Linked DNA regions of Struthio camelus. The protein of the gene in region 2 purifies or fractionates together with the protein of the main gene of each other region. This does not show direct contact. Links are inferred from orthologs where the notes say so. Each region holds a gene or a part of one and is shown on either strand. Other genes may lie near its edges.

Region 1 (7,528 bases), on a different chromosome or scaffold from region 2:
GAGGAGAACATTGTGTTCATCAGCACAGGCAGAGGGATGCAAGGCTCCCTCTGCGTCAATCCATCCGCTGACCCGAATGTGTTCCGCTTATAAATAAGGAAGACAGCTAGACCAGAGAATCCAAACTGCACACAAACCTCCTGAGGAAGGAGCATGGCACTTAGAAGCTGATTTCTGAGGTGTCTGCCCTCAGGCAGCAAGGAGGGAGTCCCTCCTGCCCCCAGGGAACCAACTGTTGGCTCTCCAAAACGTACGTGAAACTCCAGCTGTACTGATATCGAAAAAGCATGGCCAACCTCTGGCATTTTCATTTGTCTTACTGAAGAGCGAGCATGTTACCAAAGACACAGGCTTTGAGCCATCTGACTCAAGCATCATTTCTCTGCACGTACAACATAATTAGAAGTGGGTTAGCTGGAAATATTTTTTTACTCTTGAGGAGAAAATACCTTAACAAACTCACGGTATATATGTAGCAACAGGGAGCTTAGCACAGATTATTGCAGACACACAGAGCACCTTTTTTTCCTGTGCTTTCAGCTAGTGTTTGGAATCAGTTTTTCCACTGGCCAACAGAGGAAGCAGCTCTTGCAAACTTCACTGAACCATTACCATCATCAAAGCCATACCTGCTACCGCTCATTACATAGCCAGAGCTCTCGAACGATGCAATCTCTTCACTGGTCAAGCCGATTTCACCTCTCCGTGGTATACGTTTTCCCGCTTTTACATACTCTGCCATTGCTGCGCCTTCACCAGGCAGCAGGGCATGTCCATAGCTTAAAAAAAGCAGGGATTTTAATCAGTCTCAAACAGAGAGAGAAAGCCTGAGCTACAGCATCTAGCTTCCCTGTTCGTTACTTGCTGCAGCCACACTTTTAAGCACTTCCCAACTCTTTCCCACAAACTGGCTTGTTTCTTCTCTCTGGCAACCCGTAGCAACAACAGCTTAAACTACTGGTTTGATCAAACTTCTTAACAGTATGAAGGCTGCATAAAGTTACCATATGGAGAGCATTAGAATAAAGTGCATCATGAACACCTCACTGGAGAAAAGAGCAATTAATTTATCTAAAAATCAAGGCTAAAATGTGTAAAACATACTCTTCTACCTCAGTTCAGGTCAGGGTAAAGACCAGCATCACTCCCACCTCTGTCCTTAGGCTTCTGGTACAGCATCTCTCTCTCTCTGTTACACGTTACGTTATTATAACAGTCCCTTTGGACAGAAGTCTTCATGTTTGATTTACCTGACTTGATCTAAGTAATACCAGAGTTGGCTACTCACTTAAGAGGTCTGTCATCTTGAGACGCATGTGTTTTGGGAGCTTCTGGTCCAATGAGGCTATCAGCTTCCGTATTTTCTGCAATAAGCAAATAGCGAAGATTAATATTGTGCCCATTATTCTTTGTTATCAGATTAGTTACACAAGTCAGCAACACCTAGCAAATAAACTAATGAAAACAACATTGAGGTCTTTTAATCCAAGTTTTAAAGTCACATGAACCTACTTGATCTCTCAATCCAGAGATCTTCTCCTTGAAATGTTTCACCATCAGAATCTTCACTACTTGAATCACTGGATTCCTTCCTGCTCTTTTTATTTTTCTTTTTCTTATACTTCTTTCTGTGATAAAGTCAAAGACAGACATGCTGCTCACCAAAATTTAAGAGGAATGCAAGCACTAGGAATCAAGCTCAACTGATTAGTTTCTCAAGGCAACTCCCACCTAGGGAAGGGCTGATTATATAGCTATAGGTTGCTGTCCTTTGATAGGAAATATAGCAAAACAAAAACAATAAATCCACTATTATGCTTTTCATATAGTGTTAGAAGCTTTCAGGTTTCCCATGAATCCTCTTTGATCCAGGGTTCTGTACATTTAAAGCCAATGCATCACATTAAGATTGTTCAATAGGATTTATAGTCTTAATTACAAGAGGGTGCAGTCCTCCTCATTGCCTGCGAAGAGGGTGGTGCTGCCCTCTAGTGAAAAGCAGGTACAATTATACATAACATTTTAGAAACTTACTTTCTGTGCTTCTTTTTCTTCCTTTTGCTTTTCTTTTTATCTTCATCTGAAAAATTAGAAGTATAAATCACTAAAAAGAGATCAGGTCAGACTGATCTGAACTAGAAAAATAATTGATTTATTGCACTGTGAATAAATAACACTGCCTCCACCAGAATGCTTTAAGTAGAGGTTCTCAAACATGATTTGCTTCGGTGCCAAATATCATGGGGAAAAAAAAAAAATATATCAGCAGACAGCTACCCGCATTATTGCTCGATATACTCAACGAGCCATCTGGCATGAGACACCTAACAGATGTTAAATTCAGAGATCCTATTTCCTGATGTAAGAACCGCAAGCGCTCATCAAGAAAAAGGCATTGCAAATCCAACAAGACAGTGAAAGAAAAGCGCGTAGGGCTGATGCGGCAGCTCTGTAGTTTCAGAGCAGCAGAAGCTGGAAGCCTTGCTTTGCGTTCTGAGGAGCACAAGGACAGCTCTCAGACCACGCAGATTAACAGAAACTGCCTTTTCTTACCACTAGAGTCCAAGTCTGACTCTGACTCACTGTCGCTGTCCTCAGAATGTTTCCTCCGTTTTCTTTTGGATGCCTTTTGCTTTTTCTTCTTTCTTTTCTTCTTCTTTTTCTTTTTCTCTTCTAGAATGTTTTCAAAAGACAATGTTAGGGAACAGAGGGAGACGACCTAGCTCCGTATGTATTTCAGGATCTTACTGTGGCAACGTTCTCATTTGAACTGGAGCCCGTCACGCTCACTTCATCCTCGCAAAGTCAGTTAACCTCTTACAAGCCACAACAGCAGGCTGTAGTCTTAGGTGACCTCCAAGTTCTGAAACAAGTTGTACAAGCAGAGCAAAATACCTTCTGAGCTGGAATCTGAAGAACTGCTCTTAGATTTTGCCTCTTCATCTTCTACAGGAGTATGTTCATCAGAACTGAGTAAAAATAAGAAGTTTATTATTCAAAAATCTATTTTGCAATATTTAGCAATTCAAGATCAAATATACACAACTGACCAGACACATGCTGGCACATTTTCAGCCAATATTGGCAGTGAACAAATCTATTAAACAGCTAATCTGCAGCATGAGAACTGCTTTGAGAACGGCAGCACAAGGGGGAGTTCACCTGACCGACAACATACCGAAGTCTTACAGAGTGGACACGTTGGAGTTATTTGGGAAAAGTCACGACCCGGCTAGGCCAAGTCAGAAAGGAGCTTCTGACGCGACACGAATCGCGGAGAAGGGAGAAGCGCAGGGACGAGGCTGTAAGGTAACTTAGCGGGCAATCAGTAGCGCAGAGGCGGGAGGGGAAGAGCAAAGACAGCTCCTTACTCGGGGTCAGGCACCTTTGGGGAAAGCCCCCAGACTTCGGGCGCCCCGAGCTCTCCGATCCTCTCCCTCTCGTTCAGCCTCCTGCAAAGGAAAACAGCCGCGCTGAGGCCGGGCGGGCTCCGGCCGGAGGCGGCCGCGGCAGCCGGCTGGCGCCCGCGGGCCCCCCGGGGGCGGCCGGGCCGCGGCGGCCCCGCCCGGCCCCAGCGCTCGCCTCTGCCGCGCGAGCTCCTCCTTCTCCTTCTCGTAGTAGTCGGGCCAGGCCGCGCCGCCGTGCCCGTGGTGGTGCCCGTGCCCGTGGTGCGCGGCGGCGCGCGCCCCGCCGGGGGTGCGGGACCGCGACCGGGACCAGCTGCGGCTCCGCCGCGGGCCCGACCGCTTCAGGCCGCCGCCGCGCTCGCGGGAGCGGCGGCCGCGCCGCTCGGGGCTGGCGGCCCGCGGCGCCCGGCTCGCCCGCGGCAGCGACGGGCTGGCCGAGGAGCCGCGGCTGCCGCTGCGGCGGCGCCGGGAGGCCGGCGAGTGGGACGGGCTGCGGGAGCGCGACACCGGCGCCATGGCGGCGCCCGCGGCTCCGGCCGCTTCCGGCTTCCGCCGCCCCGCCCGCCCCTTCCCCGCGGGGGCGGGGCCGGGCCGGGGCGGGGCCGGAGGGGCGGGGCCAGGGCCGCCTGGCCGGGCCGAGGCCGTGCGGCCGCAGCGGAAGCGGCAGCGCCGGCGGCGCAGCGCCCCGCGCCAGCCCGCCCGGGTGGCAACAAGGCGCCGCGGCGCCGCGTTCCCGGCGGCGGCCCCTGCGCGCTGCCGGCGGCGCGGCCGGCTGGTGCCCCCCCGGGCCGCCCCGGCGGCATGGAGGAGCGGGCGGAGGCCGTGCCAGGTAACGGCGCCGCGCGGGGGGCCGCGGCCGTGCGCCCGAGGGGGCGGCGGGGGGGTCTGGCCGGCGCTGCTGCGCTCGGCGGGCACCGGGCGGCGGCCCGGCGGGGCCGGGAGCTGTCCAGGGCGGCGGGCAGCAGCACTGCCCGGCGGACAGCTCACGGCGCGGCCCCGGCCCCGGCCCCGGCCCCGGCGGCGGGCACGCAGCCCCTGGCAGCCCCGACGTGCCCTCCCTGCCCTGGGAAGCGGCTCTGCTGCCGCCCGCCCTTGGCCGTGGTAGCGGCAACGCAGGAGCACCTGAAATGGCAGTGATGTGGGGGGAAAGTTATACAAATTGTACGTTGTATGTGTTAAGGGTGTTTAGGTGTTAAGCCACCTAAGGAGCGTCCTTTCCCCTCGGGGTGCCATGTTTGGACACCTTTCAGTGGTGCTTTCTTTAGAAAAAAAATCCCGCTAGTGAGGTAACAAGTTTCTGCTGTGCCTAGGGAATGGCGGCATAACGTTGCTCGGCTCTCGCCAGGGGCGTTTCAGGCTGCTCATCCAGCCTGTGCTCTTCCACGTAGTTCATGAAAGATGCACGAGGATGTCAGTCTTTTTTTCAGAAACGAAACCATATTTCAGTTCCCAAAGCTGCCATAGGCAGCATTAAAATATCTGCAAGTACCAGGAAGTCTATTTAAATTGTGTATTAGCTTGAGTGCATGCAGCCACATGCAGAACGGGGACAGAGAAGATGTCACCAGAGGTTTGCATATCCACATGCATCCTGTGTCAGTCTGAGGACAGCTTGGTATCTCTGTAAGGTGGGGTTTGTTTGCATTTACAATAGCAGGGAGCAGTGCTTGCCCGGAGTTCGTTGCTAATCTCTAACTAAATTAGATAAGGTTATCTCTTAAAAGGGTGTTGTTTTGATCGGTGGTAGGGTCATTTGAATGAGACAGATGGAAGTCTGCAGTGGCTGTGCTTCTGCCAGCTGAATCTGTACTGCATGAATTCAGGCTCGGTGACTGTCTCCCTGCGCCTCCCGTGTGAGGTCCGAGGAGGAACCTGAGACCCAGGGTGTTCCCCAGACATAGCTCCTTGTGCCCATGCTAGCCTCGCAGGCAGCCCGAGCGCGTGTGCCCCCGTGGTATGTGAAGTCTCGCGTCCCTAGGAAGAAGTCCAGGCCGCCATGTGCTCCTGGCATTGGTTACATGAGGTCATGTCACCAACTGATGAGCCAGATGGAAGCTGATGGGCCAAACGTGTGGTGGAGGGACCCGTCCACGCGCTGAGTCAGTGCAGCCCGGGAGTGCTTTGGGGGCATGGAGTGCACCAGCCACCCTAGGCTCCTCCGTGCCCCCGCTGCTGGGCTCGCGCTAGCCCGAGCGCGCTTGCACCCAGCAGTGTGCCCAGACCACAGATTTGGCCCCAAGGCAGCTCAGCTGTGCGCTGCCACCGAGGTGCTGACCCAGCCCGGCTGGGACACGGGCGGGCCGGGGGCTGCGAAGGCCCCCACCGCTGCCGCCTCAGCACGGCTGGCCCTCTGCCGCGGGAGGCGCCGAGGCAGCCCGGGCAGTACGGCCGCTCACCTCTGCACCCCAGCATCTGTGCTGGCAAACCCTGGCTAAAATGCCCGCCTTTCAGGAGCTTTCTGAGCCTTCACTAGTTAATTCTGTGAAGTGCTCTGAAGCACTTTTATACACAAGTTATACAATTCATATATATACAGCATGTAACAGCATCCATGTCAACTACAAATGTCAGAAAAAGCTTCACTGGCATTTAAATTCAGTTATATCAGGCTTTATGTAATGGAACTGACAAGAAAAACACTGTCTGAAAATATGTCAAGGCATGAATGGTGGAAATTAATATTTTAGAGTCCTTCAGAAGCAGTGCTGTTTTAAGCTTTCCACTATCGAATAATATTTCTGTGCCTAGTAGTTTTAGGCAAGATAACTGTTGAATTTTGATTGTTACTGAGGGCCCCTTTCCTAAGTGGAAAAAAAAAGTGGTGTATTTTATTGTAAAATAAAATACATTTTGTCAAGACTGAGAACATTTCTTCCTCTCTCAGATCTGTAAAGTCTTTAAAAGAATTTTCTGTTCCCATAAAATGTCTTTTTAAAAAAAAAAAAAAAGGAAAGAGCTCTTCAAATTGCTGAACTGTAAACTTGTTGCTGAGTCACTTTTTTTGTCTTCTCCCCACAAAAACTTACACACTGCTTCTTTAAATTTTTACTTTATATTTTCAGAGCTCGCATCCCAGAGTTTCCTTGAATCACTTCTATGCATCAAAATAAAAGTTCCTGTTGTATCTTTTATTTACTTTTTAATTTCCAAGAACACCATGTTTAGTTCTATGTTCAAGCCTGCTTTATTATCACTGTCTCAGAGCCAATGGTTCATTTAATCAGTCACTGTATGAGTTTTCATATGAACCAAATCCCCACTTTCTGGGGCCTATGTAAAAATAAAAGACGGAAAAAACAAAATCAAGAGCTACAGTCCAGACAAAAAATGTTCACGCTGAAATTCTGCAGTCAGGTGCAGGAGGAATAATGAGTGGCATTTTCAGTAAAATTTTTCAAGTTAGCCAGAGCGTTAACTCTGTCCTGATCATAGCAAGATGACAGTGATGTTTTGATTTTATATCTGAAATATAAAGCTGCCACAGTGAGAAGCTCCAGCAAAAAGGTAAAAGTCAAGGAGGAGGTGGTGCAGCTCTCACAGCTAGGCCAGCATCCCTTAATTTGGCCAGCGATTTTGTGCCTAACGTAAAGCAGTCTGAACCTGATTTTTGAGAGCTGATAATGCTTCAGGAGTAGGACTCTTTCCAAATCATCTTTATCTGTAGAATTTCCTGTTAGTGTTCAGGAATGAGACTGGCTGTGAGGAGAAGGAGATTCCTTAAAGCAGAAGTGTGAAAGGCAAAGAAATGGTCTAATTTTGACCATTGGACATTTTTGGAGGAGGAAAAAAGAACAGGATAAAAGAATTAAAACAATTATAGTGTTATTTTGATTTAAGATAACCTCCTATGTAAAAATTACTAGGAAAAACCTAAATCAAAGGAGAAAATTCAGTCAAAGGGTTATAGAAGGAAAAAAGGCTATCTTCCCCGATCATCCTTTTCTATCATTTACTCTCCCTCACTCAGCCCTCAGAAAGAGCCTATAAATAAACAGAAATCAGCTCTGTCACATTTCGGATCTGAGAGCTCTCTTCAAAGAGGCTCTTCTGCTACCAGCTGTACAAATGCAGGGAGCATTGCGGGTGATCTTCTTGCTGGAGAGGCTCTAAAAGCTAGGCAG
Region 2 (7,528 bases):
CTTTCAAGGGTATCGTCCTCCACCTCTGGAGCATTCACCAGGGAAAGGTGACTGGGTCTGTCTGGGTTCCTCATAGAGGTTTCTTCATTGGTTTCTCCAATCAGATTTCTCCTCCGATTTGGGTTCAAGTCTTCCCCAGTGTCTTGATCAACATCCTACATTAGATTGATTAATCAGTCAGCTCTACCTATATTGCACTTCTCCTTATCTATTAACCCTGCCTGGTACTTCCTCTAACACAGGAGTAAAAGCGCAGTTCATTTCTCAGACAGGTTACTGTCAAACACAGCCCATATACAGAAAATGAGAGTTTGCATACCAGTTGTTTTAAAAAAAAAAAAAAAAAAAAAAGTCTCCAGAGGTGAGTGTACATCCCAAGGTCTGGAATATAATCTGCCTTGGCAATGGCACTGTTTCATTTAAAATTAAATGATTCTCTAGTTCAGAAAAAGGAAATCAAGCATAAAAACAGCATAAGGTCTGTCTTATCACCTGGCTAACATGTCAAATCAACCACTTCATTTGGTTCAACAAACAAACAAACCACTAAGGAAAACGAGTGAAAAGTAATAAGCCACTTAAAAACAGAAATATAACTTAAATGTTTTAACTCTCATTTGAAGGGTTATGTATTAGTTTTCAGTATTACACAAGGCAAAAATAGATGTAATCTTTATAAAAGGTTAGGCACCACATGAACTCTCTTTTAAGGACTATGGACTATCTTCCATACCTTCATGCTCAGGCTGGTTTTGGATCCAGTAAAAGATAACACTTTGACTTTTACTCTTTGTCCTTTGCTCACAACATCAGCAACGTTGGCAACCCGTCCTTCTCTTCGAAGCTCAGAGATGTGGACCAAGCCCTCCCAGCGCTTCCTACAGGTGAAATAGGGGCATGAGATGTTGGATATTATTATTCAAACAGCTTCTAACATCCTTCAGAGTCTGGTTTAAAATATTTTGCTGTCAACCAATTTTTGTGTATGTTCATAAACTGCTTTTTTTGAAGAAAGCATTCTCCACTGTCAAATTTATTTTTGTGAAATAGAACTTAATTTTAGCATCAAAACTCAGCTTACTTTATAGTAGCATCCTACACTCTTTAAGATATTAGCAGAGAGCAGAACACAGATGGAATAAGATGAAGGTGAAGATCAGAAGGTACCTTAGTCCTTCCAGCTGCACAAAGCATCCAAACTGCATTATACTTGTCACTTTGCCATTGTAAATGTCGCCAATGGAAGGCTCTTCAGGTGGTGGACGGTCCACATGTTTGTCTCTCCATCTATCATTGCTCTTCTCGACATATTTCTCTCGATCCTTACGGTCCCTGCTGGGACTCTGACTCCTGCTCCTTGAGCGGTATCTGGATTTCCCCCTGTTCTTGTCCCAAGTCCTAGAACGAGACCTAGAACGAGACCTGCGTCTTCGCTTCCTGTCCCTGCTGCGGCTTCGGCTCTTCCTCTTTTTTTTCGCCCTATCAAACAAACATTAGACGTCTACACCGAAATTCTGCATAAGAACACAGTGGGTAGACAATATGAACTGCCTGTACCCATCCCCTAAAGACATACTAAAAACCTACCGGTGGTCACTGTTCCTTTGCTTGCCTTGCCTGTCGGCACTAGGCATTAGAGCTTCAAGTTCTTTAAGTGCATCAGCTGCCACTTTCACATCATCTTCATCCAACATATTCTGCAAGGACAGAGAACCATTCTGTAGGAAGGCTGATAAGAGTCTGTCACAAAGAATTAACCTACACAAAGAATAATCATGTGCATTTCTGTTTAGAATTAATATAGGATAAAGAAAGATCAGACAGAATACATGATATAGAAAGAAGAAATGATATTATTAAAAAAAAAAAAAAAATGCTTCCTCCCATTTTGCCATAATATTGTGCCAATTCCGCTTTTACAAAAAGAAGAGTTTTATCTCAACATCCAAATTATTACCGAAATACAAAATACAAATTCCTGGTATCATTTTAATGTCCAAGATTTTCATCTAGTTCATGATTAGTTGCTCTAAACATTATGTCAGAAAGGCCAGGCTACAAATTTCACATCACAGGAGCCTCATCTTTCAAATATCCTGCAAAATAGCATCAATGTGGCAATTCCTGTAACAGCAGTTCCTGATAACTACATCCAATAATATCAGCCTTCTGCTTCTTCTGGGTTTCATTTCTCATGGTCCATTTTTATTCATGCATTAGCAGGAGATACAAATGCTAACATGAATACAACTTGAAACTAGAGAACAACTGCAGAAAATAAGTGTTATGTTTCCATACACTCATGAGAGAAATCTGAAATTATGACCTTACCCTGATGTTGGGGTTGTCTGGCCTGCAAAGGGCTGGAAACAATTCCTTCAACTTTTCTTTCTCTGATTTGGGTTTGACAGCTGCCTCTGATTTTGAGATTAAAACAGACACACACAAAAACCTTAGAAGTGCTATAAGGATTTGCCCTTGACATTTGTGAAGCTGAATATAAAGTTTAATTTTCATCTGAATGCAAAGATTAACACAGCTGTCACAGATTAAATTCAAAAATTACAATGTTATCTTTCTATAAATGATATTATGATTAATAGCAAACCTGTGAAAAACATAAATGCTCTAAATACTGTACTCAACATGTTTTCAGTGCCACAACAGCTTTGCAAGCCTACCACTAATAACAGAGAGAAATCCATTACAGCAATAGGATATGTATTGTCCTACAGGACTAGAACAATAACTACTTTGATCTGACCAAATATGGCCAAAAGCTACAAAAGGCAAGTTTTTTTTTCTACTGAACTGATGAGAGATAAATTATCTATACCTTTGCTTGTAGATGGTTTTGATGGAGGCCGCATTGTCTGTATGAGACGTAGCAAATTACTCACAAGGGAATCCTGCAAAATTCAGGAAAACACTTTATTCTGATAAGCAACTTCAATGCTTTTGTTCATTAATATAGGGCTCAAGAGAGGGTTTGTTAGGAGGACAAAAAAAGCTCAATGCTGAAAATGCAGGCTTTGTTTTTAAAAAAAAAGCTTCACGTACAGCCTAAAACAAATATAATAACTTGGATTTTAAAGTGATTATGATAATTCCATTTAACTGATTTTCCCACTCATCACTTTTCTAATCACCTACTTAATCCAACTACAGTAATTGCTGAGGAACACAGGAAGATGGCATCTAAATATCATAGAAAGACTTCTGCTAACACTTGCCTTCATGACAAGGTGTTTCTTCTGTATTTCACATGCTCAGCAATCAGACAATAAACACTTCAAGTAAGGCCTCAGAAGGATGCTTCACAAAGACTATGAGTGTTCAGAAAGAGGAGGAGGAGGAGGGGTAGGAGAAGGCTTGATCAGATAGGTATACTCAAAAGCTATATATTTGCATAGTTTTCCAGTTTAAAAAAAAAATCAAAAAAAAAAAAAACCCACACCTCTCTTTTAAAACAAAAAAGGCTCTATAAAATATGCCAGGTCAAAAATGTACAAATAATGTCTAGCTCTCACTTACAGTGAACTCAGCACCATTCTTTAGAAGAACAGCTTTAAATGTGTCAAACGTAGTGTTTTTCTCAGCAAGATTTATCACAAACTCGGCTGTGAAGAAAAAGTATAAAGGAAATCAGAGCAAATAATTCAAAGGCAGCGTAGGCGCACGTTCTGGTAAGAGCTGTTCTGGCGGCAGCCCAGGGCTCTGCTAGACCTATCCACCCACAGCAGCGCTTTCCTTTCCGAGCCCCTTCGTGGGAGCCCAGCTCCAAGCACTTTCTCGCGCTCGCGACAAGCTTTCTGAGGGAAGGTCCCCTTTTTTCCTCAACCCGAGAAGCCGCTCGCAGAACAGGCCCCGGCCGCCGGCCGCGCCGGGACAGGCCCTTCTCCGCGCCCCCGGGGCCGCCCCGCTGCCGGCTGGCACCGGCCGCTCACCCAGGTCCTTGTCGTTGATGCCGAGGTGGTTGTCCAGCTCGGTGCACACCTTGGAGACCAGCGACAAGTACTCGAGCTTGGCGAGCTCCTCCAGGGCCACCGGGTCCGCCATGACTCCCCCGCCCCCTCACGGCGCCACTTCCGCATCCGGGACGCGGCGGAAGCTCTGCGCCGAGCATAGAGAGGTGCGCCGTGCTAGAGCGGCCCTCCTGGGGGAGAGTCTGTAACACCGGCTTGGTGGTTGTGGCGGGCGAGGGAGCCAACGGGGGCGAAGGCGGGAGAAGGCGCCGCGGTGCCTCGCGGGAGGCCGCAGCGGGCGGCGGGGCGCGGGGGCGGCGGGGCCGTCGGCTCAGTCCGGTTGTCTGCTGAGCGTTAACCCTGGAATAGCGCGTGCCTCAACAAGGGGGGGAGGATGGACGTGAGAGTGGAGCAGCAGAGAGGAGGACCAGCCCCCCCCCCTCCGCGTCGGCCCTGAAACAGGTGGCAGCAGAACCGGCTCTGATGTCGCTCGGTTGCGACGGCCTCAGTACAGTGATTAAATTGTCCTGTGGCAGGGACAGACGGGGAGCGCGGGAGGCAGGGTTAGCAACAAAAGTGAGGCAGCTCGTAAAATACTCAGCATCTTGCCAAGCAAACGAAGTAACCCATCCACCACTCCCCACCGTGTGTGGGGGCGCGTCGCAGCCCCCAAGGTGGGCTTTCTTGACGAGACAGACACGTTCTGCCTGGATGAGATCATTATTAGCCAGCTGCTAAGTACCCTCATATGCATATCTATTTCTTGAATTATAAGCATAAATTGAACGAAGCAAAACGCTCTGATGCCAGCAACAGTGTCTTCTCAGCACCGTTGGAGCAATGTCTCAGCAGTGAGTTAAGTCTGGATTCCTGGCTATCACAATATTTTTTTTTACTTATATACTTAGATTCATTGTGTATTAGATTCATTTGGACTCATTTCACCAAATTTTTAACTTTCTGCTCTGCTGGGCTGCTGCAGATGTAATCAGTGGGCTGCCTGTGCTCTGGAGTGAACTTGGTCCTTCTGGCCCGGCTGACACATCAGACCCCTCTGACCCGGATTTCTGGAAGAGTAACCTCCTTCCTGGTATGTACTAATTAAATTACCCCAAAATAAGAGGGTTGTAACATACTAACATGTCATAATATATTCTATATTCAAAACCAAGTTTGTAATTCAGCAGACAAAATTGATTTATGTACTGAAACTTTGAAATCCTGTCAACTAACAGTATCAGCTTCTAAATCTTGCTCCCAGGCTCTCAGTCCCTTGTGAGGATGGAAGTCTGAGCCTTGTCTCCAGGTCTGCAGAACAGTGCACAGACTGCAAGTGAAAAATGCTGCGTGCACAAACATAAATAAGTCTAGCCAAATTGTGTGTACATGCTAGCAACTTAGGCCCATTAACAGTGGAAAATATGTCCAGCCTCTAGAACGCTAGGTGAAACAATAGCATGTTATTCTTTCAAAGGCCAGAATTAGAGTGGAATTTATGTGAGCTGAGTACTACCACCTTAATTAATCTAGCAGTTTATAGACAATAAATCATGTGCTGAGTTTTAAATTACTGTGCTAGACACATTTCACCTCACATATTCACTTAGCGTACCTCCTCAGCACTTGCAGAAGATTATTGGGAAAATCTAAATAGAGAGTGAATTTCCATACTCTAGGAAATGTTCTACATGAGACAACGATAGCAGACTCAAAGCCCTACTGCAAACTGCATTCATCAGCAAATTACAGCAATTAAGTAAGGGACTCCAGATGAATGTGGGTGACAAGCCCACCACGTGGCAGGTATTTATTAGTAATTAAGCTTTGGCAAACAGAAAAGAACCAAAGACTTCATGCTGTCAGCCTATGTGACAAGCTGAAAAGGAAGTGCCTGCTGTTGACTGAGCACAGAGACAATGGGGGCCCAAGAGAGACTGCTAGACAGCAACGGACACGGAGCACTGTGGAGCAGCCAGGCTGAGATCCATCAGTGTTTTCAAAAGCCTGCCACTTAGAACAGAGTGCATGGAGCACTGCAGAGGTGACAGTCCTGGGGCTGTATGAGCTTTGATTGCATCCATCTCTTCAGCTGCCTCTCCAGCTCCTTCCCCATAGTCCCAGCCTTGTGGTTAAGGGGGAAAGGAGCTACTTGAAAGCTCTAATCCCTGGCTTAGTCACTTCCACAATGCTATGCATCTCCTAGCACACAGCACTCTGCAAGCCTCTGTCCATATGAATGGACAGCTGATGGATTTCTACAGTCCTCCACCAGAGAGGGAGGAAAGTTTCCCAGTTCACACATGGGAATAGCAGGGTCACAAGAGTCTTGTTAGGTAATAAGGGTATAAAACAGTGAATTTTAATACAAAAGTTCTCTTAGAAACAGGAGGAGAAATAATAAAATGCTGATTGTTTGTATTGATTTTGAATCGAAACAGCAAAAACGTGTATCCCAGTTTCTAGCAATTTGCCATCAATTAAAAATAGAAGTCAGGCACAAAGGCAGCACTATCAGCTAGTGCATCTCACCAAACCCACACTTCAGATCTCCTTGAACTCCAGTTCCAAAGACAGACCTTTGCAGCAGCTCAACAGAGCTCAGCTTGGCACAGGCAGCTGTGAGAATCCAAGCTATGAGTCAACATAGACAGTGAATTACAGGCAAAGATCAGGCTGCTGAAAAGGAGAAGGTAAAGGAACTCTCTGGATTTGAGCAGCATGGGTCTCAAGGGTGGGGCAGAAAAATTAGTCATGTCTTGTGTGGCAAGTTATTACCATTAGAAAAAAAAAATTACATTTCCTAATAAACAGTTTGAATCTCAAACGTTAACAGTACCTAGCACAGCTCCTCTGCAGTGCTTCTTAGTTGTACATGTTGAGCAAGCACCAATCTGAGATTTTTTTGCTCACTAGCACTGGTTTAGCTGGGCGCTGAACCGTCAGGTGCAAAGCAGAACCTGCTAGTCTAGGGCAAGGGATAGAGGCAATCTCATGCAGTTCCAGAATCAGCATTAAAGGCATAGTAAAGTCTTGTTTTGGAAAGCAGGAAATCCCTGCAGCAGCAACGCAAAACTCATTTGTTTCCCAGTTAAAAACTTCTCCAATAATCCCCAATTCCTCATGCAAACCAAGGGCTTGCACCACTCTGGGTCTGATGAGCGGCTTATGAGAACAGAGTGAAGATGTGATTCTGGGAACTTGCCTTAATCAGACAAGCTGGGACCCTTCCAAACACAAGCATCTCATTGCAAAGCCTATCACAAGAGATTAGCTACAAGCAGCTGCTACTGCCAAGACTCTTTATAATCAGCCAAACCCATCCCAATCTATATGATGCACAGATGGAGCCCGGGCCCCCTCTCCTCTGTCCCCTACAGATTAGCTATTGTATAAGGGGTTTCTGGACTGCAGACAGACAAGCAGACGGCTGGAGATGGATGGGAGAGGGGAAGGGATAGCACTTTTCTCAAATCTGGTTGATTTGAAATGGCTTCAGATCATGACTGAACTGACAAATGTGAGGGTCTCCAGCACATACCCCTAGGTCAATATTGCTTCTGTCA

The links. The genes of interacting proteins can lie anywhere in the genome.
Region 1: the proteins of DHX8 (region 2) and NKAP purify together in Homo sapiens (co-immunoprecipitation; 3 studies listed by BioGRID and IntAct, with this or other methods). This does not show direct contact. The link is inferred for Struthio camelus from reciprocal best matches to the Homo sapiens genes DHX8 and NKAP.

What each region holds. Positions count from the first base shown.
Region 1 is NC_090952.1:11,961,371-11,968,898, reverse strand, and holds the start of NKAP (NF-kappa-B-activating protein), read right to left. Parts: upstream 3,924-7,528; coding exon 3,583-3,923; intron 3,453-3,582; coding exon 3,372-3,452; intron 2,970-3,371; coding exon 2,896-2,969; intron 2,674-2,895; coding exon 2,554-2,673; intron 2,081-2,553; coding exon 2,035-2,080; intron 1,629-2,034; coding exon 1,513-1,628; intron 1,365-1,512; coding exon 1,289-1,364; intron 780-1,288; coding exon 630-779; intron 1-629. Other genes in the region: ZBTB33 (transcriptional regulator Kaiso), read left to right, coding at 4,209-4,236. UniProt on the Homo sapiens protein: Acts as a transcriptional repressor. Plays a role as a transcriptional corepressor of the Notch-mediated signaling required for T-cell development. Also involved in the TNF and IL-1 induced NF-kappa-B activation.
Region 2 is NC_090966.1:8,061,081-8,068,608, reverse strand, and holds the start of DHX8 (ATP-dependent RNA helicase DHX8), read right to left. Parts: upstream 4,093-7,528; 5' UTR 4,060-4,092; coding exon 3,948-4,059; intron 3,621-3,947; coding exon 3,535-3,620; intron 3,325-3,534; exon of another isoform or gene 3,240-3,324; coding exon of another isoform or gene 3,234-3,239; intron 2,910-3,233; coding exon 2,837-2,909; intron 2,418-2,836; coding exon 2,332-2,417; intron 1,759-2,331; exon of another isoform or gene 1,698-1,758; coding exon 1,588-1,697; intron 1,480-1,587; coding exon 1,168-1,479; intron 879-1,167; coding exon 734-878; intron 156-733; coding exon 1-155.